4 linked regions of the Lonchura striata genome follow. The protein of the gene in region 1 purifies or fractionates together with the protein of each later gene. This does not show direct contact. Links are inferred from orthologs where the notes say so. Each region holds a gene or a part of one and is shown on either strand. Other genes may lie near its edges.

Region 1 (7,333 bases):
AAATACTCATTGCACAATCCAAACTTCCTGTAAAAAGTAGAGCAAACATTGGATCATTGAGGACTTTCACCTGGTGGAAAGACTGATTCAGCCAAGCAAACAGGAGAAATGTCTAACTTGAGACAGCCACAAAGGTTACAAAGCATCAAATTAAAGTCTGATACATGGAATGAAATATAATTGTGGAACAGCAATCAGGCAGCAGAACTCACAGAATGTTTGAAATGTTAACACTCCTCTGAAATAAAAATATTCTTTTACGTGAGTTTGTGTAAAAATGTTTCGTGTGACTTTGCGTAATGCAAATGTGGTAATAAAAACACCAATTAAAAGCAGTATGTGAGATTCAAGGTCAGTTCCTGAAAAATAGGGAAGGGAGAGGTTTTCCCACACACAAATATTTTTGCAATCAACCTCTACTGTCTGTTTCCATCATCAGAAATATTAGATTAGTAACACATTCAAGAAACAGAATTTGTCTATTAAGGAGGCACCACTTAGAAATAATTTTTTTTAGAAGTAAAATCTAAACTTTGCTGCCTGAACTTTAGGGAAAGACAGAATTTCCTACTGAGAAATGGAAGGGGAAATGGTTCAAATTCCCCTTTTTTTGGGCTCTTACCTCCTTTCTCACTGTCATAGTGGGAAGCATCAAACTGGGCATCGTCGTTGGGCAGCTGCACGCTGGCGATCACCAGGTGGTTTTGTTCATCTGAGGTGTGGGTGCCCAGCACCAACCTGTGGATGCTGAAATCTTTGCCTTCAGGTCTGCAGGGGAAGAGAAACAAAACAGGGATCACCAAATCTCTTCCCTGTGAGGATGAGGAGGTGCTGGCACAGGGGAATTTGTCCAAGGCCAGGTTGGGCAGGGCTTGGAGCAATGTGGGATAGTGGAAAGTGTCCTTGGATGAGCTTTAAGGTCCTTTCCTGCCCAAACCACTTTGGGATTGTGTGATCTCAACCTAAAAGCCAGCACAATCCTGGATTTTCTGCTTGTTCTGCTTTAAAAAGAGAGCAGAAGGGTCCCTTTACCTTGTGACATCAGGCAGCCACTGAGCAGTCAAGCTGGGCCACTCCAGGGCATGGGTCATCACCAGATCATACAGGAAGGGGGTGTTCTTTTTCCATATCTTATATTCCTCGTTGATCACACGCTCTTCCACTGCATCATCAAAGGCTGCTGAAGTGTTTTTTCAAGAAATACATGCAATTAATTATTTGTAAATGAATTTACAGACATACAGCGCTGTGGGCAGGCAATGGGTTAGAGTCAAGTACATCAATCACACCCTGGTTTGCTATTTGCTCTACTGGAATAGTTACTAAACGGTTAAAAATCCCCTGTTGCACATGCTAATCCTTTTTTATGCATACATGGCTGGGAATTAACATTAACTATGTCATATTTCATGCCTAGAAGTGTCCCAGGGCAGGCTGGACAGGGCTTGGAGCAAGCTGGGATAGTGGAAGGTGTCCCTGCCATGGCAGGGGTGGAATGGGATGAGTTTAAGAAATGGCTCAGAAGAGGAAAATCCATTCTGGGATGATTTGAGGACGATGCTGTTAGAGCAGCACAATAAAATTCTGAGACTCAAGCACAGGGAGGCAAAACCCAGGCTTGTAAAGATGTTTAAACACAGGAGATCCAGCAACTGCTGTTTAACAGACCGGTCTGGGCGCAGCCTTGAACTACTTGCTCCCAAAAATCCAGTTTCCCAAGGCTCCTTCTGCTGCCTTGTAGCTCTCCAACACTTCCTTGGCCTATCTGTCACCAGCCTCCGGTGCAGAGAAGGTGACGGGCAGACCTGGGGGGGCTCACCCGTGGAACGGGGACACCCTAAAGGAACTGGGGACACCCCCATGGAACGGGGGACACCTCCATGGAACGGGGGGTACATACTTAAGGAACCGGGGACACATCCTGAAGGAACTGGGGGACAACCTCAAGGAATCGGGGACACCCCTAAGGTACCGGGGGACACCCCCAAGGAATCGGGGACACCCCCAAGGAACCGGGGGTACATCCTGAAGAAACCGGGGGACATCCTCAAGGAATGGGGGACACCCCCAAGGAACCGGGGGAGATCCTCAAGGAATCGGGGACACCCCCAAGGAACCGGGGGTACATCCTCAAGGAATGGGGGACACCCCCAAGGAACCGGGGGACATCCTCAAGGAATGGGGGACACCCCCAAGGAACCGGGGGACATCCTCAAGGAATCGGGGACACCCCCAAGGAACCGGGGGTACATCCTCAAGGAATGGGGGACACCCCCAAGGAACCGGGGGACATCCTCAAGGAATGGGGGACACCCCCAAGGAACCGGGGGACATCCTCAAGGAACCGGGGACACCCCCATGGAACCAAGGATGTCCCCCAGTTCCTTCAGGGTGTCCTTTAGGGAGACACCTCCATGGAACCGGGGAACACCCTCAAGGAACCGGGGACACCCCCACGGAATGGGGGGGACACCCTAAAGGAACTGGGGACATCCTCAAGGAACTGGGGGACACCCCCACAGAACCGGGGCTCTCCCACGGGAGGGGAGAACCCCCCTGCGGGACCGGAGCTCACCCATGAAACGGAGGCACCCCCGCCCAACCGGGGCACCCTCCGGTGCCACCCTCGTGTGCCCGCTCCCCGCGCAGGGCACGGCCCGGCTCTCCCGGCCTCACAAGCCGCTCCGAGGGGCACAGGGGCGGGCGGAGGGCCCCGGCCCGGGCCGCTGCCCGCGGGCGGTGCGGCGGGCGCGGGGAGCGGCGGCGGCCATGCCTGAGGGGGAGCGCTCAGGCCCCGCCCCCGCGCGCCCCCTGGCGGCACCGCCCCGCTCCCCTCACGCCGTAACGGAGCTGCGGGGGGGGAGAGGGAGGGAACCCCGCGCCTCCCGGCGGAGGCCGCGCCGCCCATAACGGAGCCTTTACCTTCCTTATCCGCCATGGCGGGGCGGGGGGGGAGCGCGGCGGGGCGCGGGGAGCGAGGCTGGGCGAGGCGGGCGGGCGGTTCCTGCGCTCCCTGCGCTCCCTGCTCCGACCCCTCCGGCCGCGGCTCCGTCTATTGTTTCCTGCCCCCGCTGCGTGCGGCTGCCGGCGCCGCGCACCCCTTCGCGCGCCAACGCCGCCCAATCAGCGCCCGCCGCCGGGAGGCGCCGGCCAATCGGCGGAGGGCAAAGGGGCGGGGAGGGGAGCGCGCGCCGCCGTCCCGTGGGCGGGCTCCCCGTGGGAGCCGCCATTTTCCGGAGCGCCCTCAGGAGCGCTCTTAAAGGGGCCGCGCCCCGAGCTGAGGGGCGCCGGGTTCGGTGCCAGTTCCCGGTCCCTCGTTTGGAAGAAGCGGTGGCTGCGGCTCCTCCGGTCACCACAGACGTGGGAAGTGCGTATCGCAGCGGGACCGGACCGGTGCGAGTGTGGGCCGAGGCCGCCATCCAGGGCCGCCCTGCCACCATTGGGTATCCTCGGCGTGTTATTAATTCTCTGTAATCACGAATATGTTCCCTTTTCCCACAATTTACTGCCGCGGTGAGTTTTAAAGGCGTGACATTTGCTGGTTCTGGTCGGCTGCTGTGCTGTCCACAGGTGAGGCTTAACAGGTTTAAAATCAAATATCAGTATCTGGGTTTATTCCTCAAGGGATACCTCGAGTTCTCAACTTCAGACACCTCTTTCCAACACACTTAGATTTTTAGCTGAAATTAAAAATTGGAAATCTTAAGCCTTGTTTCTAAGCTTTGGAGTAAGAAGCGACTCCTGTGTAAAAGTTAAGGTATATCTATAAATTATTTGTGTTTGGGGAAGTGCTGGGTTCAGCTGAGGATAATTCTTATAATGCACAAAAATATTAAAGAATCGTTGTGATATCTGGAAATCTGGAGAGGTAAATTAATCAGCCTGAAGTTAATTGGGTTCATCAGTTTCTCTCATGTTGAATTTACAAAAGAACAGGAAAAATAAAATTTGTGAGATTGGGGTGTGAGGATCTGACTTTTATATGGGGGAGTTGATACATTTTCTTTTTTACAGTTCTTTTTTTTCCCCAATTCTTTTCTTTATACAGTTTTTTACAGTTGATACAATTCTTTTTTTTTGTTTTATTTAAAAAATCAGCTGGAGAAGGAACACAGGAAGCCCCTGGCACTTGGGTGACAGCTGGATTTACCATGCACGTGCTTTGAGGTTTAATTTTTTTCCTGAGGAAAAACCTGTAAGGTCACATCAGGGGTTTTTGGGGGCAGTGACACTTCAGGTGTGTGGTGTACAATGGGCTGAGCACCCTCAAAAAATGAATTAATTAGAAAATTGAAATTAACCTAAAGCATGGAAGTTTAATTCACTTCACAGCAGTTCCCATCAGGGCTGTATTTTATTAATTGTGAATGAACTGAATGCTCAATGTACACAAGGAGGAAAAAAACAGAATTCCTCCCAGAAAAGGCCAAAATCCACAATTCCTATAAGGAATATTTTCCCTTGGCTCTGCTGCCTGACCAAACATCACTTCATGGGTGTGGGATTTAATTTCTTCCCTCCCAATCTGACACAAACCAGCTGAAATTCGGAATCCTCCCTGTTCTCCACAGGTTTGTGAGGAAAGCAGGAACTGAGGGAGAATTCCTGGCTCTGCCCCAGCCTGAGGAAGGGAGGGATCCCTGGGGAGCCCTCAGCGATGGCAGCCGAGGACAGGGATTACAACCTGACCCAGGAGCAGAAGGCTGTGAAGGACAAGTACCCCCCTCTCTGCAAGAAATATGAATGTGAGTATTTTTATTTTTTTAAAATATTATCATGATGCAGCGTGTGGCAGTGCTGTTGTGAGGGCAAGGAAGATAACAGGAAATACAGGAATGAAAAACCAATTTTCTTCATGTTACTTTCTTCATTTTTTCCTCAATGTGTTTCCTCATTCCTTTTTTAATTTTCTTCTTTTTATATTTTTTCTTCTTCATATTTTCTTCTTTTTATTTTTTTCTTCATTTTTTTCTTATTTTTATTTTTTCTTTTTCTTTTTTTCTTCATTTTTTCTTCTTTTTCTTCTTCATTTTTTCTTATTTTTATTTTCTTCTTTTTTTCCCTCATATAAACAATTTTTCTTGTTATGGGCACTGAAAAAAAAAAAAAAAACAACACGCTGGAAATAAATGACTCAGGTCTCACCCTGAAAACTTTTCCTCTTCTGAGCCATTTTTTAGCAATTTCTCTACCTCTCCTGTAGGAAGGGACATTAAAAAGTGGGCTGGCTTTGTGTGTGGTGTTTTTACTCTCCTTAAAGATCTCTCCCTTTCCCCACCCCGGGAATGGCTCCTCAGAGGATGTGGGTGGCAGCCCAACCTCTGATAGAATTTCTATTTTTAGGCTGTGTTCAGGTCTTTATTTGCTAGAAGTGCAGAAATTGTGACACATCACAACAGCCACACAGTTTCCATAACTGGAGGAGCTTTTATCCCTCTTTTGCACCCAAAGGAATTTGTTTGCTTTAGAGACTGTTGTCTAATAGTGCGTGATCTCTTTAAACAGCACCAAATTTTTTTTTTTTTTTCAGTTAAAGTGAGCATTTATTTCACATCCCAACTTAGTTCTGCTAGAATTTTCATTTCTTTAATTTCTTTGAATAAACATCAACAAGGTTCACGTACAGCTGGATACATGGGATGTTAATCATGCTCCATGAGTAAAGTTTGCCTTCTATTTTATATTCCATCCTCTGTTTTAAATTCTTCTCTTTGCATAATGGCTGCTTTTGGGTGTGCACAGGTAGATTTCCTTACTGAGCTGGAAATATTTGCAAATCTCATCCTCTGCATGAATAACTTTGAGTCCTGCAGACTTCAGCATAAACATTTTACTCCTGGTGAAAGTTTCTTGTTATTGCAGTTAACCTGTGGAAGCCTGTTGGGTTACAGCAGCCAAACCCTGCACTGACATAATCACATTAAACAGGTTTTTTGGCAGAAATAATATCCAAATTTCCACCTGTGCTAAATTTTTCTAATATACTACAGTAGATTTATCATATATGCAGACGAATGTAAAAATGTTTTGTTAGAAAATCAGATATTTTTGTTATTTTTTTAATCCTTATATTATAAATACTTTTGGTGACATTCCTTTTCTTTTTGCTTCCCCTCAGATTTGGATCACACAGCAGATGTGCAGTAAGTGTGGGCAGCTGGGATTTCTCAGGGTGACAAATTGATTATTTTTTACACTGCTTTAAGCCTGGAGTAACAGCCAAGGACACTTTGCAGATGTAACACCTTGTGGAGCTCTGAAATGTCACTGGGTGCTTTGATATGGTCAGTTTTGCTCCTGCTTTTGGGACACCATAGAATTACGTTTGGTTTCTTTTTTAGCATTCAGTGCTATTTGGAAACGTCTTTTGAAATCTCCTTTTAAACAAAATTTCTTCTGTGTGGTTTACTTTTATAGACACCATTTAGTCACATTAGGAAAGAAAACTAGTAAAACATTTATTTTCCACATTCTCCCAAGAAACTCTTCTGACAAACTTCTTCTAGAAAAATCAGGTGGTTTTTTTTACTCATTCACCTCCTCTGCCTGAGTTCCAATGTTCTAATTGCTCATTTGCATGTGACTTTGGGGCTGTTCCTTTTTGTTGTGATCCAGTATTGTGTTGCAGCGATTGTTGCATGTGTTTTTAGGCTCCAGTGATTGTTGCATGTGTTTTTAGGCTCCATGCCTGGGGAGACACCTTGGAAGAAGCCTTTGAGCAGTGTGCCATGGCCATGTTTGGCTACATGACAGACACAGGCACTGTGGAACCTGTGGATACGGTGGAGGTAGAGGCAGAAGGTGAGGACTGCACCTCTTCTATGCAGAGTTATGAGAAGGAGAAAAGCACCAAAAATCTCAATTTTTACACATAGCTTTAGTGCAGTTAATTAAAATATAATTAAGCATGGTTATCTGAATCTCCTGTACATCTGAGGTGCTGTTGAAAATGTTTTTTTGCTGAGGCAAATCTCTGCTTCAACCACACAGGGCATGACCTATTGTCTCTTCTCTTCCACTTCCTGGATGAGTGGCTGTATAAATTCAGTGCTGATGAGTTTTTTATACCCAGGGTAAGTGTTCTGGTTTCAGCTTTTTCCATTTGTAGGACAAAGCTGTGCCCTGATAATCCCAGCTCTGAATGCAATGGTATTTTAGGGGAAAAAGGAACACAAAAAACACAAGGCAAGGGTGGATGGAGCTTTTGGGGCAAGCTGGGCTGGTGGAAGGTGTTGAAACAGCGGGAAATAACCTTTGTAAGTGGGATTTACTGGGAATTTCTGCCTGAAGGTAGAAGGTGTGACTGACACATTTCTCTTCCCACTCTCTCTGC
Region 2 (7,431 bases), on another chromosome or scaffold:
GTAAGAACTGTCAGTCTTAAAATATTGATCCCTTTGGCATTAGGAAAATTGAGATTATTCCCATGCATATGAATGAGACAGATTTCAGCAACCACCCATCTCCCATGCTGGAAATCCCACTGTTGTCATGCAAATGCATGGAATTTAGGTGGTTTTCATTTAGTCCTGCCCTTCTTTTTTTTTTTTTTTTTGGTCCACTGGAAAAACTTATGACAAGAATTCCAGGGCCTACCACAGACACAGAAGGAAGTTTGTGAAAAAATATTCATGTTCTGCAAGTCCAGGTGCTGCTACAGCAAACACAAATAAGCAGATATAAGGAAAAGCTGACACCTAGACAACATCACCTGTTAGTCACCATAGAAGTGATAAAATGGAATTGCTGGACATACAGGCAACACTTTTTTAAATAATGCTTCCATTTCTTAGCGGTAGGAAGTTCTTGGAGTATTTCTAGACCTTGTTTCTCACTGCATTTCCTGCTCTGAGACAACTGATAAGAGACACCCCTGTTATCTACCAACGTTTTGCTGTCACCAGCCCATGAATACAGCCCTTCTGTCTCAAAACTCAGTTCTTGTCCAGGCCCTCCGCAGAGCTCAGCCTTGAGAATTTAAATTTCCCCTCCTGGATTTCCATGCAGAAGCATCTCTGAAGGCAGGAATAGCTCCACTGCCAAGAGAAGCTGGGAGGGCCAGCCCCAGCCTCCCTGGATGGCTTTTCCACAGCTCCCCCTGCACAGCTTTGTCCCAGGAGCTGGGCTTGGACCCAGGGAGGCTGGAGATGCTCCCACCAAGGCACAGCAGCAGCAGCCAGCCTGCAAAAAGACTTTTGCTGCAAAGGGCTGCAGATCTGCTGCCTGCCAGAGGCTCCTCAGTGCACAAGAGCCTGGGAAAACGTGGGGTGATTGTGGCCAGGGTGTGTTTAGGAGGACAAGATCCCTTTCAGGAGAAAAGGAGAAGCTGGTATTCTCCTGCACTCCTGGAAACAGAGGCTTTGTCACCCTCCAGCCCAGGGCAACCATGGCATTCTGCTGGGACAACTTCAAACCTACAAAAGAATCCGTGCTACCCAGGATTACATCTTATTTGTGTCACCTCCTGCCCGGATCTGAGACACTGTTTCACCCCACTAAGTGGCTGGAGTTTTTGCTCAGCGTTTCACACCTCATCAAGTGGCAGACTGAAAACGTCACTCCCTGACATTATCCAAAACTTGGGGGTCAGACAAGGCCTTTTGTATCAAATCCCAGCCTCACAGCCAGAAGTGCTGATCCTCACAATCCTCCTTTTAGAGAGCACCGACAATATTAATATTCCACGAAGTTCCTGAACAGCTACTAACAACATAAAAGGAGTGATAAAAGATATATATCCCCACACAGCTTAAATCTGGGGGAGAAAATTGCTGCATATTTTGCATACCGATTATTTTAAATAATAACCTTGCTTAAATTTCACTCTTCTCTCATGAACTTGCAGAGTCCTTACACGTCTAGAAAAAAAACACTAAGACGAAGAAGTATTTTCACCTGCTGATAGAACCTGGATTGTTTGTAAGATACCATGATTTCTGGTCTCCCAAGAGCTTCTCATATTGAAAGGCAATGAAAAAAAGCAAACCCCAAACCCTGCTGTCTGGTAACTTATTCAGAGATACGTTAAAATCCCCCCCGTCCACAAGGCTATTTAAGAACCATGAAACTTCACCCCGTTCATTGCGTACAAGGAGCAATCAGTACTAATTAACAACTACAACAGCCTAGCTGGAAAACCATTATTCCGGAAAAAGAAGGTTACCTAGGCAATGTAAGGGCGAAGGAAGAGGGCAATCAGATTTCTGATTGTGTACAAAGAGGGGAATAAACGCCACGCTCAGCGCTCGGGCGCTGCTCCCGGCACACAGGGATGCTGCTGCAGCCCCGGCCAAGCCCAAAGGCTGTGCCCATGTGCTCGCCCCTCTCCTGCCTCTCCCAACCCGAGGGGGTCCTGCCCACCCCCGGCTGGAAGGGTCCAGGAGGAGGAAGAGGAGGAAGAGGATGCTCAGGAGCTGCGGGTCCGCTTCCCGGGGAGGACGCGGGGGCAGGAGCTGCTCGGCCCGGGGAGGACAGGGGCCGAGGAGGGATGGGATGGGATGGGATGGGATGGGATGGGATGGGATGGGATGGGATGGGATGGGATGGGATGGGAGCGAAGCTGCAGAGCCCACAAGGCTCCCGGCGGGGCCGCCCCCATCCCGCCCCCGGCGGCTCCGGGAGCGCTCCCGGGCTCGGCGCTGGGTGCGGGGCTCGGGCTGGGCTCCCCCCGAGCTCTCACCTTTTCGAGAGGTCCATGAGGACCCCGGAAAAAAGCTTCTCTCCCAGCCGGAACGAGACCACCAGGGCGTCCTCGATGATGTGGTCCAGGGTGACCCGCACCTCGGAGCCGGGCAGCAGCGCCGGCACCTCCGCCTCCCCTCCGCCCGGGGCCGCGGGCACCGCCGGCTCGGGCTCCGGCGCGGCGGCGGCGGCAGCATCCGGCTCCTCCTCCTCCGGCCGGGGCGGCTCCTCCCCGGGCCCCGCGGAGCCCCCGGCAGCCGGCGGGCAGGGCTGCGGCGGCTCCCGGGCCGGCTCGGGCGGCGGGCAGGGCTGCGGCGGCTCCGAGCAGCCCGGGCTGGGCGCCGCTGCGCGGGGCTCGGCCCGCGGCGATTCCACCCCCGGGCTGCGCGGCGGCTCCTCCGTCCTCCCCGCGTCCGGCTCGCGAGTCCCGCCGGGGCTGCGGGCGCGCTGCACCGGCGGCGGCTCCTCGGCCTTGCCGCCGTCGGCCTCCTCGCCATCCGGCACCGCCGACTCCACGGCCTCGCTGACGGCGGGTAGAGGGTCCGCGCCGGCCTCGCTGCCCGGGATCGGCTCCATCTCGGGCTCGGCCTCGCCGGCCCCGCCGTCCCCCGGCACCGCCGCAGTCGCCGCCGCCTCCGCAGCCATGGCCGCCATTTTCTCCGCCGCCTCCCTCCAGCAGCGGGAGCGACGGCCACGGCCCGCGGGGAGGGAGAGCCCGCCCCCCGCGCCCGCAGACGGCACCCTATTGGCGGGTGCGCCGCAATGATGCGCTTCTATTGGGCAGGCCGCCTGTCCATCCAGCTCCGCGGGAACTTCTCGTTGGTCAGCGGGGGCTTCATTCAGTGCAGAGCCAGGAAGGGGAAGAGGGGGCGTGGTCTAACGCTTTAGAGGCTACGGGGGTGGGGCTAGTGGGGCCGCTTCGCTATCTGATTGGCGGAGAGAGGCGTCGCTCCCGAGGGAGGCCGGTGATTGGCGGCGCCAAGTGTCCGTCGCGGGGCGGGAAGCGGCGCCGGGCAGCGCGCGGGGGAAGATGGCGGGGGCGGGCACGGGGCCGGGTCGCCCCTCAGAGGGATCACGTCCCCCCTCAGAGTGGCCAGGTCACCCCACCATGGGATCGCCCTGCAGCGGCTCCCCCGCGGGCCACGGCCCGGCGCTGCCTCCTGCGTTGTGCAGCGCGGGCAGGGGAGCGGCTGGTCTCCGTGCTGGGGAGCACTGAGGGGGTGACGCGGGGAGAGGGGAATACGCGGAGCTGGAGGGGACCCACAGGATCATCCAGTTCAACCCCCTGGCCCTGCACAGACCCCAGACCATCCCACCCTGGCATCCCTGGAGCGCTGTCCAAGCCCTCCTGGAGCTCTGGCAGCCTCGGGGCCATGCCCATTCCCATTCCCTGGGGATCTGGGCAGTGCCAGCACCCTCTGGGGAAAAACCTTTCCCAAAATCCACCCTGAGCTGCCCTGGCACAGCCCTTCCCTGGCTCCTGTCCCTGCTCAGCACAGATCAATGTCTGACCCTCCTGTTCCTCCCCTGAGGAGGGCAAGGCAAAGGGACTGTTGCCTTTTGTGAGGCAAATCGGCATTTTAAAGTGTTAAGCGCCTCATTAGACACATCAGGTGCAAACGTGGAGTCGAAGGGGAGAAAAGAAAACGAGTTAAAGATTTCCTCCTGCTGGCCCGAGCCCCGTCCAGCCCGGGGCAGCGCTCGGGTCCTGCCCCTCAGGATATGGCAGAGCTCGGGCTGCAAAAGCCCAGTCTGCAAAAACCCGTTCTGCAAAACCAGACTTTTCCAGCCACCTTTGGGGCAGGGGGCCAGAAGGGACGTGGCCTTGGCTACAGAGCAGAGGGGTTTTATCTTGTCATGGTATTTCTGTTCTGTGCGCTCAGGACACTCAGCCCCTGCTCCCTTCCTTGTGGCTGCTGAGCAGAGAACGGGGCCATAAATCCTGAGCCTACCAGAAATTCCCAACTAACACAGAAAGAAACTAAAACTACTCAGCCCTGGAGCTGATGGGATGCGCAGATCCAACAGCTGAGCCCAGCAGGCTCTTTGTTATGTTAAGCTGGGATTTATGGAAAGGATGGGCATAAAATGGAAGATTTTCTTCTTGCAAGTCTGCTGGAACGCACCTTTTCAGCAGGTGTTGCTTGTGGAAGGCATTCAAATGCAAATTGTTGTGTTTTACATCCCCTGGAGATCCCAGCAATTCCTGTGCTCCGAAGGGAACAGAGTGGGTGTATGGCTTGTTCTCTGCTTCACTGCAGTAACAGCAGATTATGTGCTTGACCCTACTGAGGGATCAAAATAAAACATAAACGGCTCCTTTGAATGTTGAAAAGTGCTGTGTGTGCTTTTAAAAAGAGGTAAATTAGGACATTTACAGCCCAGAATAATGCCACACAGAAATACTGTACCATAGGTAACTCTAAAATTCAACCTCACCAACACAGGCATGTGGATGCAGGATGGTACTCGTAAATTTAACAAAAAAGCCCTCACTATATAATTTTTCCCATCCCAAATACCTTTGATCACTATTTATTTTCTATTTATTTCAAATCTAACCTGTAATCTCCTTAAGATAGGATTTGCCTTACAGTGGCTGGTCTGCAGAGTGACTGCATAGTTGGAGCCTTTTTTTCTATCCTGGAACCTTTAGAAACTGCCAAAATAAAACTAATTAAGTTAATGAAACAGATTGCAGTACCACACTCTCTGTAAATTAAACCAAGTCTCTCTGTGTTCAGCAAGTGGCAGGAAGGACAGAAATGGAGAGAAGAAACTATAAATTACAGAGAGGAACAGAGACAATCGGGGGGAATAAAACAATTAAAATGAAGGCAGGAAAAATGCTGAGCTCCATAAAGATGTGTTGCAGTAAATTGTTGGGATGGGCAGCTGAGGAAGCTGAGTTTGGGTGGAGAGAGTGAGGGGGATGCAGGGAAGCAGCAGATCCAGCTGGAGTTTGTGCACAGCACCCACAGGGAGGGAATTGTTTGTGTGGGACGTGAGGAACCTCTAAACTCAGCATTAGTGATATTGATTTGTTCTGTCATGAAACTCCACTCTGAAGTGTGGCTAGTCCCAGCAGGTCTGAGTAATAACTACGTTATTACTTCAGGTGATAACTAATGGGGTGTGGGTGTGGAGATTTTAGCTGCTGGACAGTGGGAACATCACTCTCTGGGCATCCAGTTCCCTGGAAATGCAGTGCCATGAAAGAGGCACGGCCCAGTGCAGGGCTTTAAGGAGCAATATTCATAAATGGACAGTAACCAGGCTTGCAGTGAAGCCAAACCCATGACTGCAGCTTCCCCCAGCTTCCTTGGAGCAAAGCTGTGTTAGCAGGCTCCACGAGGAGCTGCCCCTGGAACTGCCCAGTGGCTGGAACTCGTGGAGCTGCTGCTATCCCAGGGGCTGCAGAGGTCCAGGTGGCCTGAGCTGTCCTTGCTGCAGCTGGTCCATCTCAGTGTGGGCACACAGGGCTCTGGAGGATTTACAGGGACTCTTTGTCTTGGTGGGACAGCAGATCCCTGTCCTGATACCTGCACTGGGATGGAGGAGCTTTAGGGAGGAGGTTCTCAGCCTGCCCCACTGAGGCTCTGGGGCTCCCCACATTCCAGGATGAGGTTTATATCCTCACTGCAGCCTTTGCAGGCTCTGCTGCAGGGACACAGAGCTCTGCTGCCCTGCTCAAGCCCAGCTGCAGTCACAGTGGCTTCCTCTGCCTGCCACAGTGACAGCGGCTTCCTGTGACCCTGGGCAGGGCCACCAAACCTCCCCGAGTCAGGTTTAGTGTTCACAGCTTTACACACTGCTAATAAATCCTCCAGTCAGCATTTTCTAGGCATGATCTGCTGGTGGAGAATGTTCAAGGCTTTCTAAGTTAAAAGGAAAAAGTGTAACCAGTGAAAACCACTGGATGTGAGTAATGCAGAGGGATTCAGGCAAATCAACTGAATCTGGGTCGTGCTTGTGTGCTGCAAACTCACTGCTCCTCTAACAGATTAGGAAAGTAATGCTCTTACAACAGATGTTAATTATATTTAAGCTGGATTGATATTTGTTAGTGAAATATTACAGAAAATTAATTTAGGGTGAGAGAATCACCAGTCCTTCCTGTAATGCTGGTAACTGATTTCTGTGGCCCTATGAGCACAGAGCTCATTTTTTTGGGTTTAGGGATGAGCATTTGGGAAAGCTCACTGCAGTCTCATGTGCCCCAGAATTCTGCCCTGCAAGCTGAAAAGTCAATTATGTGCTGCATTTCTTGTGAACATGAGATGAAGTCAATAAATGGGGCTTAATCTAATGTCCATATGGAGAATTGATTGAAATAGATTTCCAGAGTTGGGGTTGCTTTAAAAGAATGGTAATTGTGAGCCCTTGGGGTGAAGGACTGGCACCGTGTCACTGCTGAGATCTCACTTGGTAGTTGTAAGGAAATGGAGTCTGAAGGTACTTCCTGTTTTATCTCCTAATCTGACTGGTTTCTGCCTCCTCCTGCAGCCTGTGCAGCTGCAGGTGCTGGTGGCAGCCACACTGCATCTCCATGGGTCTCTCCATTCAGAGAAAATGGGCATCATCCCTGGAGCCAGGACAGATGGAGAGGCCAAACTCAGCTGTGGGTAAGGCAGCTTGGTAATTGAGGATTTCTCATTAAAGTCCTCTTTACAGAAATTACAGAAGTCTCTTTAGTCATAAATATGTCAGAGCAACTTTTTTGTTCCTTGTGGTGTTTCCGAGGTTGTTCTACGTCTGCAGTCAAGCTCTGTTCACATCAAGAGTGCCCAACTGGTGAGATGTGACCTTTCCTCACCTGTGGTTCCTGGAGATGAATCCTATTTCAAACAGGAGTAACAGGAAGGGTGAAGCACCTTAATTAGAGGAGTGGGAATCCTACACAGTCTCTTCTCATCGAGGGTAGCTGCTGACAGAGCTCAAGGAGACAGGACAATAGGGGAAATGGAATTCACTGGTAATCATTTGGATCCTTTGTACTTCCGAGATGAAGGAGCAGCTGCCAACTGCCTGTGTCACCGTGTCCTTCTCTTTGGCACTTACATGGAGCCTCATCTCTGCTGGCTGTGAAAAATGGACAGGAACATTTCATTCAC
Region 3 (6,902 bases), on another chromosome or scaffold:
TTGGAAGGGGAGAATCAGCAACCAAACACCTCAATATGGGGTGCAACAGCCGACCTGGGTCCTGTCAGGTACCTACAGCCCCCAACACTCCGCAAAACAGCCACTCTGGGTCCTGGCAGATGCACAGCAACACCCCTCACCCCACACGATGGGGTCAGCTCCCACTTTGGGTCCTGGCAGGGGACATCCAGCCCCTGTCACCCCACATGACAGGTCAGAGCCCACTTTGGGTCCTGGCAGGGGACATCCAGCCCCTGTCACCTCACATGACAGGTCAGAGCCCACTTTGGGTCCTGGCAGGGGACATCCAACCCCTGTCACCCCACACGATGGGCTCAGCTCCCACTTTGGGTCCTGCCAGGGCACCACCAGCCCCCATCACCCCACACGATGGGGTCAGCGCCCAGTTTGGGTCCTGGCAGGGGACATCCAACCCCTGTCACCCCACATGACGGGTCAGAGCCCACTTTGGGTCCTGGCAGGACACCACCAGCCCCCATCACCGCACACAATGGGTCAGCACCACTTTGGGTCCTGGCAGGGCACTGCCAGCCCCATCACCCCACACGATGGGGTCAGAGCCCACTTTGGGTCCTGGCAGGGGACATCCAGCCCCTGTCACCCCACATGACGGGGTCAGTGCCCACTTTGGGTCCTGGCAGGGCACCACCAGCCCCCATCACCCCACATGATGGGGTCAGAGCCCAGTTTGGGTCCTGGCAGGGCACCACCAGCCCCTGTCACCCCACATGATGGGGTCAGAGCCACTTTGGGTCCTGGCAGGGCACTGCCAGCCCCTGTCACCCCACACGATGGGGTCAGAGCCACTTTGGGTCCTGGCAGGGCACCACCAGCCCCCATCACCCCACATGATGGGGTCAGAGCCCAGTTTGGGTCCTGGCAGGGCACCACCAGCCCCTGTCACCCCACATGATGGGGTCAGAGCCACTTTGGGTCCTGGCAGGACACCACCAGCCCCGTCACCCCACACGATGGGGTCAGAGCCCAGTTTGGGTCCTGGCAGGGCACTGCCAGCCCCCATCACCCCACATGATGGGTCAGCACCCACTTTGGGTCCTGGCAGGGCACCACCAGCCCCCATCACCCCACATGACGGGTCAGTGCCCACTTTGGGTCCTGGCAGGGGACATCCAGCCCCCGTCACCCCACACGATGGGGTCAGAGCCACTTTGGGTCCTGTCAGGGGACATCCAACCCCTGTCACCCCACACGATGGGCTCAGCTCCCACTTTGGGTCCTGGCAGGGCACCACCAGCCCCCGCCACCACCGTGTCCCCTCAGGGCCGGTGTGCGGCCAGAGATGTCCCCACACACGGGTGGCCGCACGGTGACACCCGCGGTGACACTCGCGGTTGTTTACAAACACCTCCCTCCCCTCGCAGCCCACCCCCGGTACCGCCGGGAAGCGCCGAGGGGAAAATGGAGCTCAAGAGGTCCCGGTATCGGGGGGAAGCGCTGAGGGGAAAATGGAGCTCAAGGAGGTCTGGGTACCGGCGGGAAGCACTGAGGGGAAATTGAGGCTCAGGAGGGTCCCGGTACCGGCGGGAAGCGCTGAGGGGAGATTTGGGCTCAAAGGGCTCAGGGTGTCCCGGTACCGGCGGGAAGCGCCGAGGGGAAAATGGAGCTCAAAGGGCTCAGGGGGTCCCGGTACCGGCGGGAAGCGCTGAGGGGACAGTGGGGCTCGGGGAGCCTCGGCAGCTGTGGCGGCCCCGGGAATCTCTGAGGGAGTGGGGGCAGACCGGGGGTCTCGGGGGTCCCGGTACCGGCGGGAAGCTCCGGGAGGAGCTGAGGGGACAGCGGGGCTCGGTGGCTGCGGGAGGATCTGAGGGGACGGGTGAGGACCGGGGGGGCTCGGTACCTGCGGGAGGATCTGAGGGGACGGGTGAGGACCGGGGGGGCTCGGTGGCTGCGGGCGCCTCCGGGAAGCGCTGAGGGAGCGGGAAGGGGGAGCTCGGGGGGCGGCCCCGGGAAGCGCCGGGCTCGAGTGGCGGCGAGCTCGGGGGGACGCTTGGGGGGTCCCGGTACCCCCGGGAAGCGCCGGGCTCGAGTGGCGGCGAGCTCGGGGGTTCCGGTACCCCCGGGAAGCGCTGAGGGGCTCGGGGCTCCCGGTAACTGCGGGAATCTCTGAGGGGTTCGGGGTGGTCACTCGGGGAATCTCTGAGGGGTTCGGGGTGGTCACTCGGGGAAGGTCTGAGGGGTTCGGGGTGGTCACTCGGGGAAGGTCTGAGAGGTTCGGGGTGGTCACTCGGGGGGTCCCGGCGGTACCTCGGGGAAGCTCTGAGGGGCTCGGGGTGGTCACTCCGAGGGGCTCGGGGTGGTCACTCTGAGGGGCTCGGGGCGGTCACTCCGCTAAGCTCTGAGGGGCTCGGGGCGGTCACTCTGAGGGGCTCGGGGTGGTCACTCTGAGGGGCTCGGGGTGGTCACTCCGCTAAGCTCTGAGGGGCTCGGGGTGGTCACTCGGGGGGCTCGGGGCGGTCACTCGGGGAATCTCCGAGGGGCTCGGGATGGTCACTCGGAGAGCTCGGGGCGGTCCCTCGGGGGGCTCGGGGTGGTCACTCTGGGGGTCCCGGCGGTCACTCGGGGAATCTCCGAGGGGCTCGGGGCGGTCACTCGGGGGTCCCGGCGGTACCTGCGGGCGCCTCCGGCGGTCCGGGCGCGGCGGGCGCGGGGGGCGGCGGCGGCGGCGGCGGGAGCGGGGCCGGGGCCGGCCCGGCGAAGATGTCGGGGGGCCCTCGGTGCCCGGCCAAGAGCGCGGCGGCAGCGGCGGCGGCGGCGGCGGCGTCTTCCTCCTCCTCTTCCTCGTCGTCCTCCTCGTCGTCGTCCTCCTCGTCCCCCTCGGACACCGCCATCTCCTCCTCCTCCTCCTCGTCCTCCCTCAGCGGGGACGCCATGGCCGGCTGAGGGGCGGGGGGCCGGGGGGACCCTCGGCGTGCGCCGCTCCCACCGCCCCAAACCGCCCCCGCCGCCGAGGCCGGGGGGGCTCGGTGTGAGGGGAAAGTGGGGAGGGGGCGGGACGGGGCGACCCCCCCCGGGCCGGGCCCGGCGGGGCCGCGCGGGGGGCGCGGGGGGGGCGGCGGCGATGGGTTGAAAAACGCCCGGATCGGTTAAAATCGCCTCAGGGCGCGGGAGGCGCCGGGCGGCGGGACGGCGCCGGCAGCGAAAATGGCCGCCCCGGGTGTAATTTTAAAATAAACCCCCCCCCCCCTTTCAACACACACACACACAAAAAAAAAAAAAAAAAAAGAAGAGAAAAAAATATATATAATAATAAAAAACACACCCCGGTAAAGGGGGGGGAAAGGCGTAAAAAAATATGGAGGAGGGAGGGGTTAAAAATGAGGGAAATGGGGGGGTGGTGCCCCCCCCCTCTTCTTGAGGGAAAAAAAAAGCGCAAAATGGCCGAATGAGGGTTTTTTTTTAAAGTTGCCCCACACGCACCTTAAGGGAGGAAAGAGGGTGAAAAAGAGGGGGGAAAAGCCTCAAAAACGCACAAAAAAGCGATAAAACCCAACCCGCGAAAGGGGGAGGGGAATTAAGGAAGGGGAAAAAAAATTGAAATTAATATTTTAGGGGAAAAAAAAAAAAAAGGAGGAAAGGGAAGCGTTCAGGGAAAAGAATGAAGGAAATAAAGGGGAGAATTGAAAAGGAGTTAAATTGGAGGGGAAAGGGAGGGTGAAATGACAAAATGAGGTGGAAAAATGGAAAGGGGCAGGAAGGAGAGGCAAAAAGGGGTAAAAATCGGCATTAAAATTTAAAATGGGGAAGGAATGGGAAGAAAAGGGACAATCGAGCTTAAAATTGATATGGCAAAAGAGGAGAGTCAAAAATAAACATTAATATTTAAAAAGGGAAGGGAATGGAAAAAAGGTTAAAAATAAACAAAAACCAGAAAGGGCTGAAAAGGGTAAAAATAAACATCAAAAAAAAAAAAAAGCGCCAAAAAACCTTAAAAATCAACCGCGCGACGTAAAAAAAAAAAAAAAAATTAAAAAATTAGAAACAAAAGCCACGAAAAATCCTTAAAAATACAAAAAAAAAAAAAAATCAAAAAGCACGAAACCCCTGAAAAATAATAAATCCCAAAGCTCCCCCCACCCCACCCCCCCCCAGCCTTCGCCGTTACTGCCCGAGCAGGCGAATAATCCTCATCCTGCTCATTTTAGGGTATTTTTGGTCGCTTTTGGGGCCTCATTAATGATATTATTTTGCTTTTCCCCCTCCCGAAGATCCCGGCTCGGCGAGGGACAAATATTTGTGTGGCCCCAGCCGGGGGGGACCCGAAGCCGGAGATTTTTCTGCATAAAACAAAGATGGCTGCGGTAAATTATTTCTTTTTTTTTTTTTCTGCTTTTTTTTTTTTCTTCTCTTTCTCCTTATTCTTCCCCCCCCCCCCCCCTCACTCCCATAAAAATATTTCGGGGGGGGATTAATCAGTACTCATGCTCAGTGTGACATCAGCATAAATTGTTAAAGGTTAACTAGTTCCATACTCGTCACGCTTCCCTTTTCATTTTTTAAAGGATTTTTACCCTTCCCCCCCCCTTTTTTTTTTTGCCCATTCCTCCCCCCTCCCTCGGTGATTTTAAACACGCACTAAAAAAAAAAAAATTAAAAAGCAAATTTTTTTTTATTTTTTTTGTTCTTTCTCCCTCCCTCCTCGACTTTGAAATACTTGGGAAGGGAGTGGTTTGGTGGGTTGGGTTTTGGGGTTGTTGGGGTTTTTTTTTCTTTTGGGTGTTTTTTTTTTTTTTTTCTTTTTTTGGAGTTTCTTTAAGGCTGCAACGGAGGAAGAACAAAAAAAAAGGGGGGGTTATAAGGTTTAAAAAAAAAAAGGTTGAGGAAGGGGTTGGAAAGATAGAGGTGGGATTAAAAAAGGTTGGGAAAGGGGGAAAAGATTGAAAAGGAATAAAAAAGATTGAAAAGGGGGAAAATGGAAAAGGAAAAAGATTAAAAAGGGGAAAAATTGAAAAGGGAAAAAACTGAGAAAGGGAAAAAGGATTGAAAAGGGGGAAAAGATTGGAAAAGGAAAAAAGCTTGGAAAGGGAAAATAATGAAAGGAATAAAAAATATTGGGAAAGGGAAAAGGATTTTAAAAGATGCAAAAAGAAAAATGTTGAGAAAGGGACAAATGGTTAGAAAAGAGAAAAGGTTGAAAGAAAAAATATTTTTTAAAACATTGCAAAAGGGAAGAAGATTGGAAAAGGACGGGAAAGGGAAGAAATTATAAAGGGAAAAATTGAAAAAGGAAGAAAATACTCAAAAAGGGTGGAAGCAGAAAAATATTTAAAAGGATGAAAGTTTTAAAATGTTGAAATTGAGAAAAATATTCAAAAAGGAACAAAAGTCACTAGAAGTATTGAAAAATGGAGAAATAATAAAATGAAAAACATTTAAGAACAAAAAAGGATGGAAAGGGAAAAGCTATTTAAAAAGGAAAAAAGTTTGGAAAAGGGGAAGAATAAAAGAGAAAAAGAATGAAAAGACAGAGAAAATGAAAGAAAATTTAAAATGTAAAAAACTGAAAAAGATTTAAAAATTGAAAAAGGAAAAGAAGGATTAAAAAAGGGGGGAAATACTGAAAGAAAGGGAAAAGTATTAAAGGGGGGAGATAAAAAATGGGAAAAAGATTCAAAAGAGGGACAAATACTAAACACAGAAAAATACTTTAGAAAGGGGAAAAGTATTTTAAAAGTGGGCAAAAATCAAAAAAGAAAAGATTTGGAAAGAGTTAAAGTGATGGGGAAAGATTCCAAAAAGAGAAGAAAGTGTTAAAAAAAAAAGGGGGGAAAAGGGGGAAATTAGGAAAAGGGGAGGGAAAAAAAGGTGGAAAGAGAACAAATATTGAAAAAAGGGGGAGAAATTGAAAAAGGAGAAAGAAAATATTAAAAAGGGGAGAAAAAAGGGTTTAAAGTTCCCCCAAATCCAGGCCAAATCCTCCCCCCAAAAAAACCCAGAGGTGAAATGGAGGAGTTTGTCCTCAGTGATGGTTTTTAGGGGTGAAGTTGCCCAAAATGCTCCAAAATCACCCCAAACCCCCCAGGCTGTGCCTGCCCCTACCCCACCTCTGGAGTTTGCTGCCTTTTTTTTCCTTCCCCTTCCTTTCTGGGGCCTTTTTACCCCAAAAATGATGGGAAATGGGGTAAAAACCACTCCAAGTTTGGGGGTTTTACCCTATTTGGGTTTTTAACCCAAAAGCTGTTCCTGGTTGTTGTCACTCAGAACAAGGAACACCCAAATCCCCCAAAATCCACCCAAAACCTCGTGTGACACCCCCAGAACCCCCAAATCCCCCCAAAACATCGTGTGGTACCACAAGAACCCCAAATCCCCCCAAAAGAACCCCAAATTCTCACAAATTTTCCCCAAATTTTCCCCAAAATCTCGTGTGACACCCCCAGAACCCTCAAATCCCCCCAAATTCCACCCAAAATCTCGTGTGACACCCCCAGAACCCCCAAATCCCCCCAAATTCCACCCAAAACCTTTTGTGACACCACAAGAACTCCAAATCCTCACAAATTCTCCCCCAAAACCTCGTGTGACACCCCCAGGACCCCCAAATTCCACCCAAAATCTCTTGTGACACCACAAGAACCCCAAATTTTCACAAATCCCCCCAAATTCTCCCCAAAAACCTCATGTGACACCCCAAGAAGCCCCAAATCCCCCCAAAATCTCCCCAAAACTTCATGTGGCACCACAAGAATCCCAAATTTTCACAAATTCCCCCCCCAAAATCCCGTGTTACACCCCCAGAACCCCAAAATCCCCCCAAATTCCACCCAAAACCTCGTGTGACACCACAAGAACCCCAAATTTTTACAAATTCCCCCAAAATTCTCCCCCAAAAGCCCTGTGTGACACCACGAGGGCCCCAAATC
Region 4 (7,457 bases), on another chromosome or scaffold:
TTGAATTCCACGGAATCAGATTCCAAGGGAATTTGTGATTTATCTTCTTTGTAGGGAAGCTGCTGCCGAAACTCCTCAGAGCAGTCGCTGTGGTTGTGGGAGTTCTCCTGGGAGTAGTGCAAGACCAGCCCACTGCCAGGGAGTGCACTGGGGACGGGCTCTGGGGGCACCTGGGGGCACAGGACACACGAGATGGGTTGGAAAAAGATCAGGGACCAGCTGAACAACAGCCCAGCAGCAGTGCTGGCAAGTCTCCAGCTGAAAAATAATGTCACGTGAAGAAGGAAGAAAAAGGAGTTCAGTCACCAATCAATTTCCCTACCTGGTTTATTAACTCCATCAGTTAAAATAATGCCTGAAGTTCTCCCTGGTGTAAGAACCACCTGATTTGTGGCTGTCACAGCCTTATTGGCCTCAACTGAGAGGCTGCACCAAACACCACTGCAGGTTCTGCTACACTGGTTATTGCAGAGGAGCTGCCAGTTTTAAGGGGCATATTAAACATACAGCCCTTACAGGTGTTAATTCCTAAGCAACACAGGGATCTGAGGGAGCTGAGATTTAAAAGGTTGTTCCTGCTGCTAACTAGACTTACACCACAAGTTTATCAGCAGAATTCAGTTTATGGCTGTATTTCAGCTCCACACAGTAATAACAAAAATCAAGCAGGGGCGACATCCATCTGTATCCCAGCAAGTGGGTCTCACACCAACAGTATCTGATGGGGATTCCATGATCTTAAAGACCTTTCCCAATGTCAACAACTCAATGATTTCACAGTTCTTTTGCCTGTTTCCTAAGCAAGTTTCCTGGTTTCTCAGTGGAAGACTGGAAGTGCAATTCTTCCAGGATCACCCCTTGAAATTTGCCACTACCCACAACCCATACTGGGAACAATGTCAAGCCAATTCCAGTTTCAGTTTCCAAACACGACTGAAATATTTGGTGTTGAAATGGTGTTTCCATGCAGAATCATCATTCCTGTGTAAGTCAAACTACCTGGTTTGAGAATAAATTGGAGGTTGGAACTAGGTGATTTTTAAGGCCCCTTGCAATCCAAAGCATTCTATGATTCTTTGCATAAACATTTACATTTATATTACACCCATTAAAAAGGCTTTAAAAACATCAGCAACAAGCACTATACATAAATCTCCACAGCCTAAACTGTGCAGACATGTCCAGTGACACATGGAACAGTTTATTTAGAGGATAAGAGTTCTGTGACCTACCTGACTATTCAAAGGTGACTGTATACTTAATTTCCCATTCTTTGGAATTTCTATCCTGTAGCCCAGAGGAAGAAATGCATTGAATCCTACAATGAGGTCGGGATGCTCATGGAAAAGCTGAGAAACACGTCGGATGACTCCAGGTGTGTCAATGCTAAAATTGAGAGGCGCTTGTTACTTATTATCCAAATCAGAAACACAAGTTAAGCCCAGAAACTGCCAAGAGAAATGTGAAGTATCTAGTAAATTAGGGGTGCAATTATTTAAAAAAACAATTAGCCAAATTAGAGGGAATGACCACTGCAGCTTCACCCTGGGAGTGTTATCCTTGGGGAGGAGAGATGAGTGTGCAGGTTGGCAAAGGGACAGGACAGACAGCCAGCACCTCCAGAGCTTGCAGGTCACAGGTTCTGTTCAGGTTGCTTCACTTATTTCCCAGATCTGCGTTTCAGAGTGGAAAGCAAAAGCAGATTTGCTTTTTCCTGTGCATTTCACCTCTGGAAAATTATGGGATGGGCAGAAGTACTCCAGCTTCACAGAACTGCACCACTGGGGAACAGGGCAGTGAGTGTGCAGAGGAGGAATGATGGGGTGAAGGCTGGGGGGCTCTGCAAAGGCAGAGAGACCCCACAAAGGCTGAGACCTTAGGGAAGGGCTGGAGCTGTGCCAGGCCTTGGCATGGAGCTCAGGGAAAGGTTCTTCCCCCCGAGGGTGCTGGCACTGCCCAGGCTCCCCAGGGAATGGTCCCGGCCCCGAGGCTGCCAGAGCTGCAGGAGCGTTTGGACAGCGCTCTCAGGGCTGCTCAGGGTGGGGCTGTTGGGGGGTCTGGGCAGGGACAGGGGCTGGGCTGATGATCCCTGGGGGTCCCTCCCAGCTCAGGATGTTCGGGCCTCTGTGAAATGCTGATGAGGTCCTTAGAGCACCCTGGGGTGAAGGACCTTGGCTTTACCTCTGGCTCTTGAACTCCTTCATGATCTCCAGGAAGCCGTTGTAGGTGGCAGGGTCGCTGCCAAAGCGGATCTTCACCTGGTCCAGGTAGGACAGCGCATCCTCCACCTGCGGGGTGAGAACATGGTGGGGAACAGGCCCCGGAGCCCCCACGGCACCAGAACTGGGGCGGGGGCACCTCAAGACACCCTCAAGGGGGTGGGAACCGGCGCCGGGGGAGCCCCGCAGCAGCGGCGGAGGGCACTCGGTACCGGAGGACGGCAGGCCCCGGCGGGCTGCCCGTGCCCGGGGGTGGCACGGCACGGAGGGGGGCACGGCACCGGGGAGCCGGGAACAGGTCCCTGGGGAGGATGACCGCAGTACCTGAGAGGAACAGCAGGGCCGGGGAGAGGGGCAGGGCCCAGGCGAGGGGGGAACAGGCCCGGGGAGCCCTCACGGTACCGGGGGAACAGGACACGGAACCGGGGGAAGGGGATGCAGCCCCAGGGGACCCCACGGAACCAGCGGAGGAAGGCGGGGATGCCCCCGGCGCGAGGGGGACGAGCCCCCGGGACACCCCCCGATACCGGCGGGTGAGGGACAAGCCCTGAGGGGCGAGTTCGGCACCGCAGCCGGGACGGGGCAGGTCACGGCGGGGGCGGGCGGGGCCGTCCCGGGGGGGGCGAGGAGCGGCCATTCGCGGGGGCGGGGGAGGGTGGGGAAGGGGCGATGGCGGCCCCCGCACTCACGTGCACCGGCAGCTTCTCGTGCGGCGCGGCCCGGCCGCCGCCGCCGCCCCAGCGCGGGGCGCTGCCCCCGCCGGCCCCGCGGCCGCCGCCGCCCCCCGCCGCCATGTTGGAGTCGGGCGGGCGAGCGCGGCCCCGGCGGCGCGCGCCGCCGCTGCGTCAGCGCGCACGGCCCAGGCCACGCCCCCTCCGCAGCGAGACCCGCCCCCTCCGTGCCTCCGCCCTCTGATTGGCCACGCCCCGCCATAGACCACGCCCCCTCACCGCCCACAGGGTGTGGCCACGCCCTCATCCGTGCAGGCCACGCCCCCAGCGCCGCTTCCGGCCGTTCGAGCGAGCGGCGGGAGCGGCGCCTCAGCAGCGCCTCAGCAGCGCCTCAGGGACCTCCTCAGGGGCCTCCGGGGCCCAGGGGGAGCTGCTGGAGGAGCCCGGGGGGCTGCGGGATCCCTGGGATCTTTGGGAGTCTGCAGGAGCCGCGGGCTGAGCACTGGAACTGCCGGGGCTGGAGAAACGGCGACTGGTGCTGCGGGGCTGAGGGAGCCGAGGGGTGTTGGAGAGACTCAGACGGGGCTGGAGGAGCCCAGGGGTGGCTGGGGAAGGCCGGGGGAGCTGGTGGGGCCTGTGGGGAGCCTGAGGAACGAGGGCTGGGGGAGCCCCAGGGGCTGGAAGAGGCAGGGGGTGTGGAGGAGCCGGGGTGAGAAGAGCCATGAGGGGGTTTGGGAGAGTCATGGGGGGGTTGGGGGAGCTGGAGGGGCTGGAGAGCCCGGGGAGCCCCTCAATGGTGTGCCCTGAGCTCAAGGGTTGCTCTGGGGTAGCAGGGTAAATGTAGGCTTAAAATATGCCACTTCCCCCAGCAGTTCCTGTCAGCAGGCAATTTGAACTCAGTAAAACTGAGTTACATGAAGAGCAAAGAGGAGAGGGGGAAAAATAAAGCCGTGTGATTTGTTTTTCTTTAAAGCATTACAGATGATTTGCATCATAGAAAAGTGCAGAGAAGCCTTTCTTGCTTTGCCTTTAAACTTGCTGCTGGTATTTGAGCTCAGAATATTTTTCTCTATGTTGTGCTGGAGTATTCCAGCTGTTTGCAGCTTTCAGGCAGGATGCTCACACACGGCCTCTGGATGTGATATTCCATCCCCTGTTCTGATACTTGCACAAACTGCTGCCCTGTGACCCATTTCCCTTCATACAGGAAGGATTTAATTAATAAAGACTTTTTCTTTCACAGTTACTGCTTTCAGCAGCCAGACTGGTGGATTGATTCAGTGACCCAGCATACAAGTATTTATCATCTTTGGAGAAGCAGGCACTGCAAAGGCCTTTCAGGAGAGATGTGGGCTGAAAATGGCATTAGATTGTTGTGCTGGTAAATACAGGTTGGAGATGTTTTAGAGTTTTCAGTGGTTATTCAGTGCTTAAGAATAGAGATAATAAATACAGATTTTTACAGGAGTAATACTGGAAGAGTGGTGGGAGCCAAATACAACTCCTAGGTTATGAAGCACTCATAGCTGTGCAGGAAAGAGCCTGGTAGGGAACGTAAAGACCTTTATTCCACCTGTGGAAAGGAGTAGCTCAGAGATATCTTTGGTGTGTTGTCAGGCAAAAGAAAATCATTGATCCAACCCCCTGCACCTCTTTTATTTTTTCCTCCTGGATTCTCCTGAGCTGGCCCAAATTCTGTTTTCTGTTACTATTATTAACTTGAGAAGTCTCATCCTCTTCCCTGGTTTGTGCCATGTGGTGACATGAGCAGAACCAGCTGCAGGTAACACCTGTGAGTTCTGTTTTCTGCCAGAGCACAGTTCCCAGCCCTCAGCCCCTGCCAGCACCAACACTGACTGGTGAATCCAGCTGTGAGGATGCTCCCAGACCAGCCCTGGGTGCTGGGAAAATGTGCCTGACATTTTGTCAGGATTTGGGTGTTCTTGGGAATCCTGGGAGCTGGATGTCCATTAACCATTGACACTCAGCTCCTGGTGTCTCAGAATAGCTCAGCTCAAGTTGCTGCTGACAGAGCTCCAAGAGAGCTGCCAAGCAGGAGATCTGTGACCTTCCAAAGGGAGCCCTTGGGCCCCAGGGCACTCCTAAGGACTGAATCCCTGTGATCTCCAAGGAAATCCGGGATCTGGGTTCTGATGGTGTGCCTGGGCCTGTGGATCTGTTAGGAATAAATCATCCCGGCCTGTGGCAAACTGCTCCTCCTGCCTCTTGATTGTGGCTCTGGAGGAAGGATGACACTTGTTATAAATGAAAACTCCAATTTAATAATTAAAGAAAATGTATTAAATGTTCCAAATATAAATTTAGAGAATAACAACGAAAAGCCACTATCAAAAAAAAAGGGTCGGTGCCGAGCTCGGGTCTGACACAGCTTTGACTGCTGTGGCAGAGGATGCTTCACACCGACTGTCCCATCTGACCATTTTTAAACGATATTTCTTGCCCGAGGCAGAGTCCCTTTTCTTCCTTTTCGGACTGCAAGTATTCATGTGGAGTTCTTTTCTCTGTGGCAAATTGAACAATACATATCTGAGAGTGATCCAATTCCTGGAATTCTTATTGAGATGTATCTCCCTGATGGCTCTGGCTATCTTAGTCTCAGATATTTATCGAGTATTTATCGCCTCAGGCCACCTTATGGATGATCCATCTCCGGGCTGGCCACGTTCATTTGCTTGTAAATTAAGTCCTCCCTCCCTTGTCTGGGTGGTCTCCATCTTGTGTTGCATTCCCTGTCGCTTAAAAACTTACTAGAGTTTGTCTTAACAGTATATAATTATAAAATATACGACAATTTTATTTATTGTCATGTATTATTTATTTATGTCATGTACACATTATATGTGTACATGAATTATCATGTACACGTATAACAACAGTGACATCCTGCCTGCAGTTCAGTGGGAAGACAAGGGCTTTGTCCCGGGAAAAGGAGCTGGCTTTGCTCGGATATTTCCAAGCATCTCACTCAGGCAGGTGTGTGCATTGTGTCACACCCTTCACCTGTGAAACAGGGAAATCTGAGAGACTGCCCCTACTCTGTCTGCCCTCAGATGGGCTCAGGATTGGCTTCCTTACTTGGGAAATGGCTTATTATTCATATTTCAAGTTTTCACCTGTCACAAGCTGCAACCTTCAAGGTTGTGGCTGCAAATCTGTGGTTCTTTCAGCCCCTTTAAGCTAAAGACTGACAGGTACCTTTGTACCTGAGGAAGAACAGACAATCCTGTGTCCCTCATCCACAGGAAGGTGATGTGAGGACTGTTCTTTGGGATGCATATTCTGGATAATGAACCTACCTCTGCCAGAAATCAAATTCCAGATGTTTAGCCTGTGGTCCATGACAGAAACACCACAGGTTCCTTTTTCAAACACTTTCACACACCTCGCCTCAGCTAAGTAAGAGAGGGGCTCACAGAACGAGGGCTTCTCTGTTGTTTTGCAACAACATGGCTGGGAGATGTCTGTGTGCCTAAAGATCCAGGACTGCCATGCTGACACAGCTCTTCTGAGGCATGAAAGCAGCCTTCCAGCCCCAAAAATTGGAGAAGGCTCAGCAGAGTGCCCAGGAAGGGCATGCAGCATCTCAAAAACTTCCATATTCCAGACAATCACAGAGCCATCCTGGGAAGCTGCCACCAGCAGCTGGCAATCAGGACCAAGTGCCATCGCTGTGACACACAGAGAGGCAGGAGAGGCTGCTCTTGCTGCCACAGACAGAAAAAGGACATTTTTGAGCTTGTTTATGTGCTGTGTTTCCCCAGCTGGAACCCCAGGTCCTGTCTGAACCCCGTGGTCTGTGCCAGGAGCAAGATTAGGTTCCTGCAGACATATCTAGGTCAGTGTGTGCTGTTGTTGTCCTGGCGACTAAATGACCCACTTTCTCCTCATTTGTGGAAGCAGCTGCCAATGGGGCCAGGGCATGGACAGCACAAAGGCACAGCACCTTCCTCCTGCCTTTGTCTCCAGGCTGGGCTCCTACAGAAACTGGGCTTTTCTCCTCCAAATTTATTGTGCTTCTTGCAGGGAAAATCCCTCCTTTTGTGAGCCCCACTCTTTCTTGATAGCTGAGGTGAGGTGTGTGGAAATTTGAAAAAGGAACCTGTGCTGTTTCTGCTGCCATGGATCACAGGCTGTGCATCTGGAATTTGATTTCTGGCAGGGGCAGGTTCATTATCCAGGATATGCATCCCAAAGAACAGTCCTCACATCACTTTCCTGTGGATGAGGGACACAAGATTGTCTGTTCTTCCTCAGAAGAACACAATCAATTCTTCCTTCCTGTTTATCGTGTTTCTTGCATCTCATTCATAACAGAGGGATAATTAGAAATATTGTTGGGTTGTATCTGCCCCAGGAATGATCCTACCTTTGAGGAGAGGTGAGATCCTACACACAGCCCTGTGAAGAACTCCACACAGTGGGATGAGCACAGGGTAGGGACAGACCCTGCAGCAGCTCAGGCACTGCTCCACAGCCACCCCACGAGCTCCAGGTAGGAAGCACCAAGGCAGGCAAGAAGCCTGGCCAACACTTCTGTGTGGATTAT

Evidence for each region.
Region 2: the proteins of RBBP4 (region 1) and PWWP2A purify together in Homo sapiens (affinity purification with mass spectrometry; 4 studies listed by BioGRID and IntAct, with this or other methods). This does not show direct contact. The link is inferred for Lonchura striata from reciprocal best matches to the Homo sapiens genes RBBP4 and PWWP2A.
Region 3: the proteins of RBBP4 (region 1) and CHD3 purify together in Homo sapiens (affinity purification with mass spectrometry; 9 studies listed by BioGRID and IntAct, with this or other methods). This does not show direct contact. The link is inferred for Lonchura striata from reciprocal best matches to the Homo sapiens genes RBBP4 and CHD3.
Region 4: the proteins of RBBP4 (region 1) and SIN3B purify together in Homo sapiens (affinity purification with mass spectrometry; 4 studies listed by BioGRID and IntAct, with this or other methods). This does not show direct contact. The link is inferred for Lonchura striata from reciprocal best matches to the Homo sapiens genes RBBP4 and SIN3B.

What each region holds. Positions count from the first base shown.
Region 1 is NC_134628.1:930,442-937,774, forward strand, and holds the start of RBBP4 (histone-binding protein RBBP4), read right to left. Parts: upstream 3,014-7,333; 5' UTR 2,939-3,013; coding exon 2,923-2,938; intron 1,181-2,922; coding exon 1,033-1,180; intron 769-1,032; coding exon 623-768; intron 1-622. Other genes in the region: ZBTB8OS (protein archease), read left to right, coding at 4,658-4,745, 6,119-6,143, 6,680-6,801, 6,991-7,073. UniProt on the Homo sapiens protein: Core histone-binding subunit that may target chromatin assembly factors, chromatin remodeling factors and histone deacetylases to their histone substrates in a manner that is regulated by nucleosomal DNA.
Region 2 is NC_134617.1:1,276,036-1,283,466, reverse strand, and holds the start of PWWP2A (PWWP domain-containing protein 2A), read right to left. Parts: upstream 3,006-7,431; 5' UTR 2,972-3,005; coding exon 2,316-2,971; intron 1-2,315. UniProt on the Homo sapiens protein: Chromatin-binding protein that acts as an adapter between distinct nucleosome components (H3K36me3 or H2A.Z) and chromatin-modifying complexes, contributing to the regulation of the levels of histone acetylation at actively transcribed genes.
Region 3 is NC_134636.1:1,912,584-1,919,485, forward strand, and holds the start of CHD3 (chromodomain-helicase-DNA-binding protein 3), read right to left. Parts: upstream 3,015-6,902; 5' UTR 2,913-3,014; coding exon 2,651-2,912; intron 1-2,650.
Region 4 is NC_134630.1:3,955,813-3,963,269, forward strand, and holds the start of SIN3B (paired amphipathic helix protein Sin3b), read right to left. Parts: upstream 3,014-7,457; coding exon 2,909-3,013; intron 2,289-2,908; coding exon 2,182-2,288; intron 1,387-2,181; coding exon 1,233-1,386; intron 171-1,232; coding exon 1-170.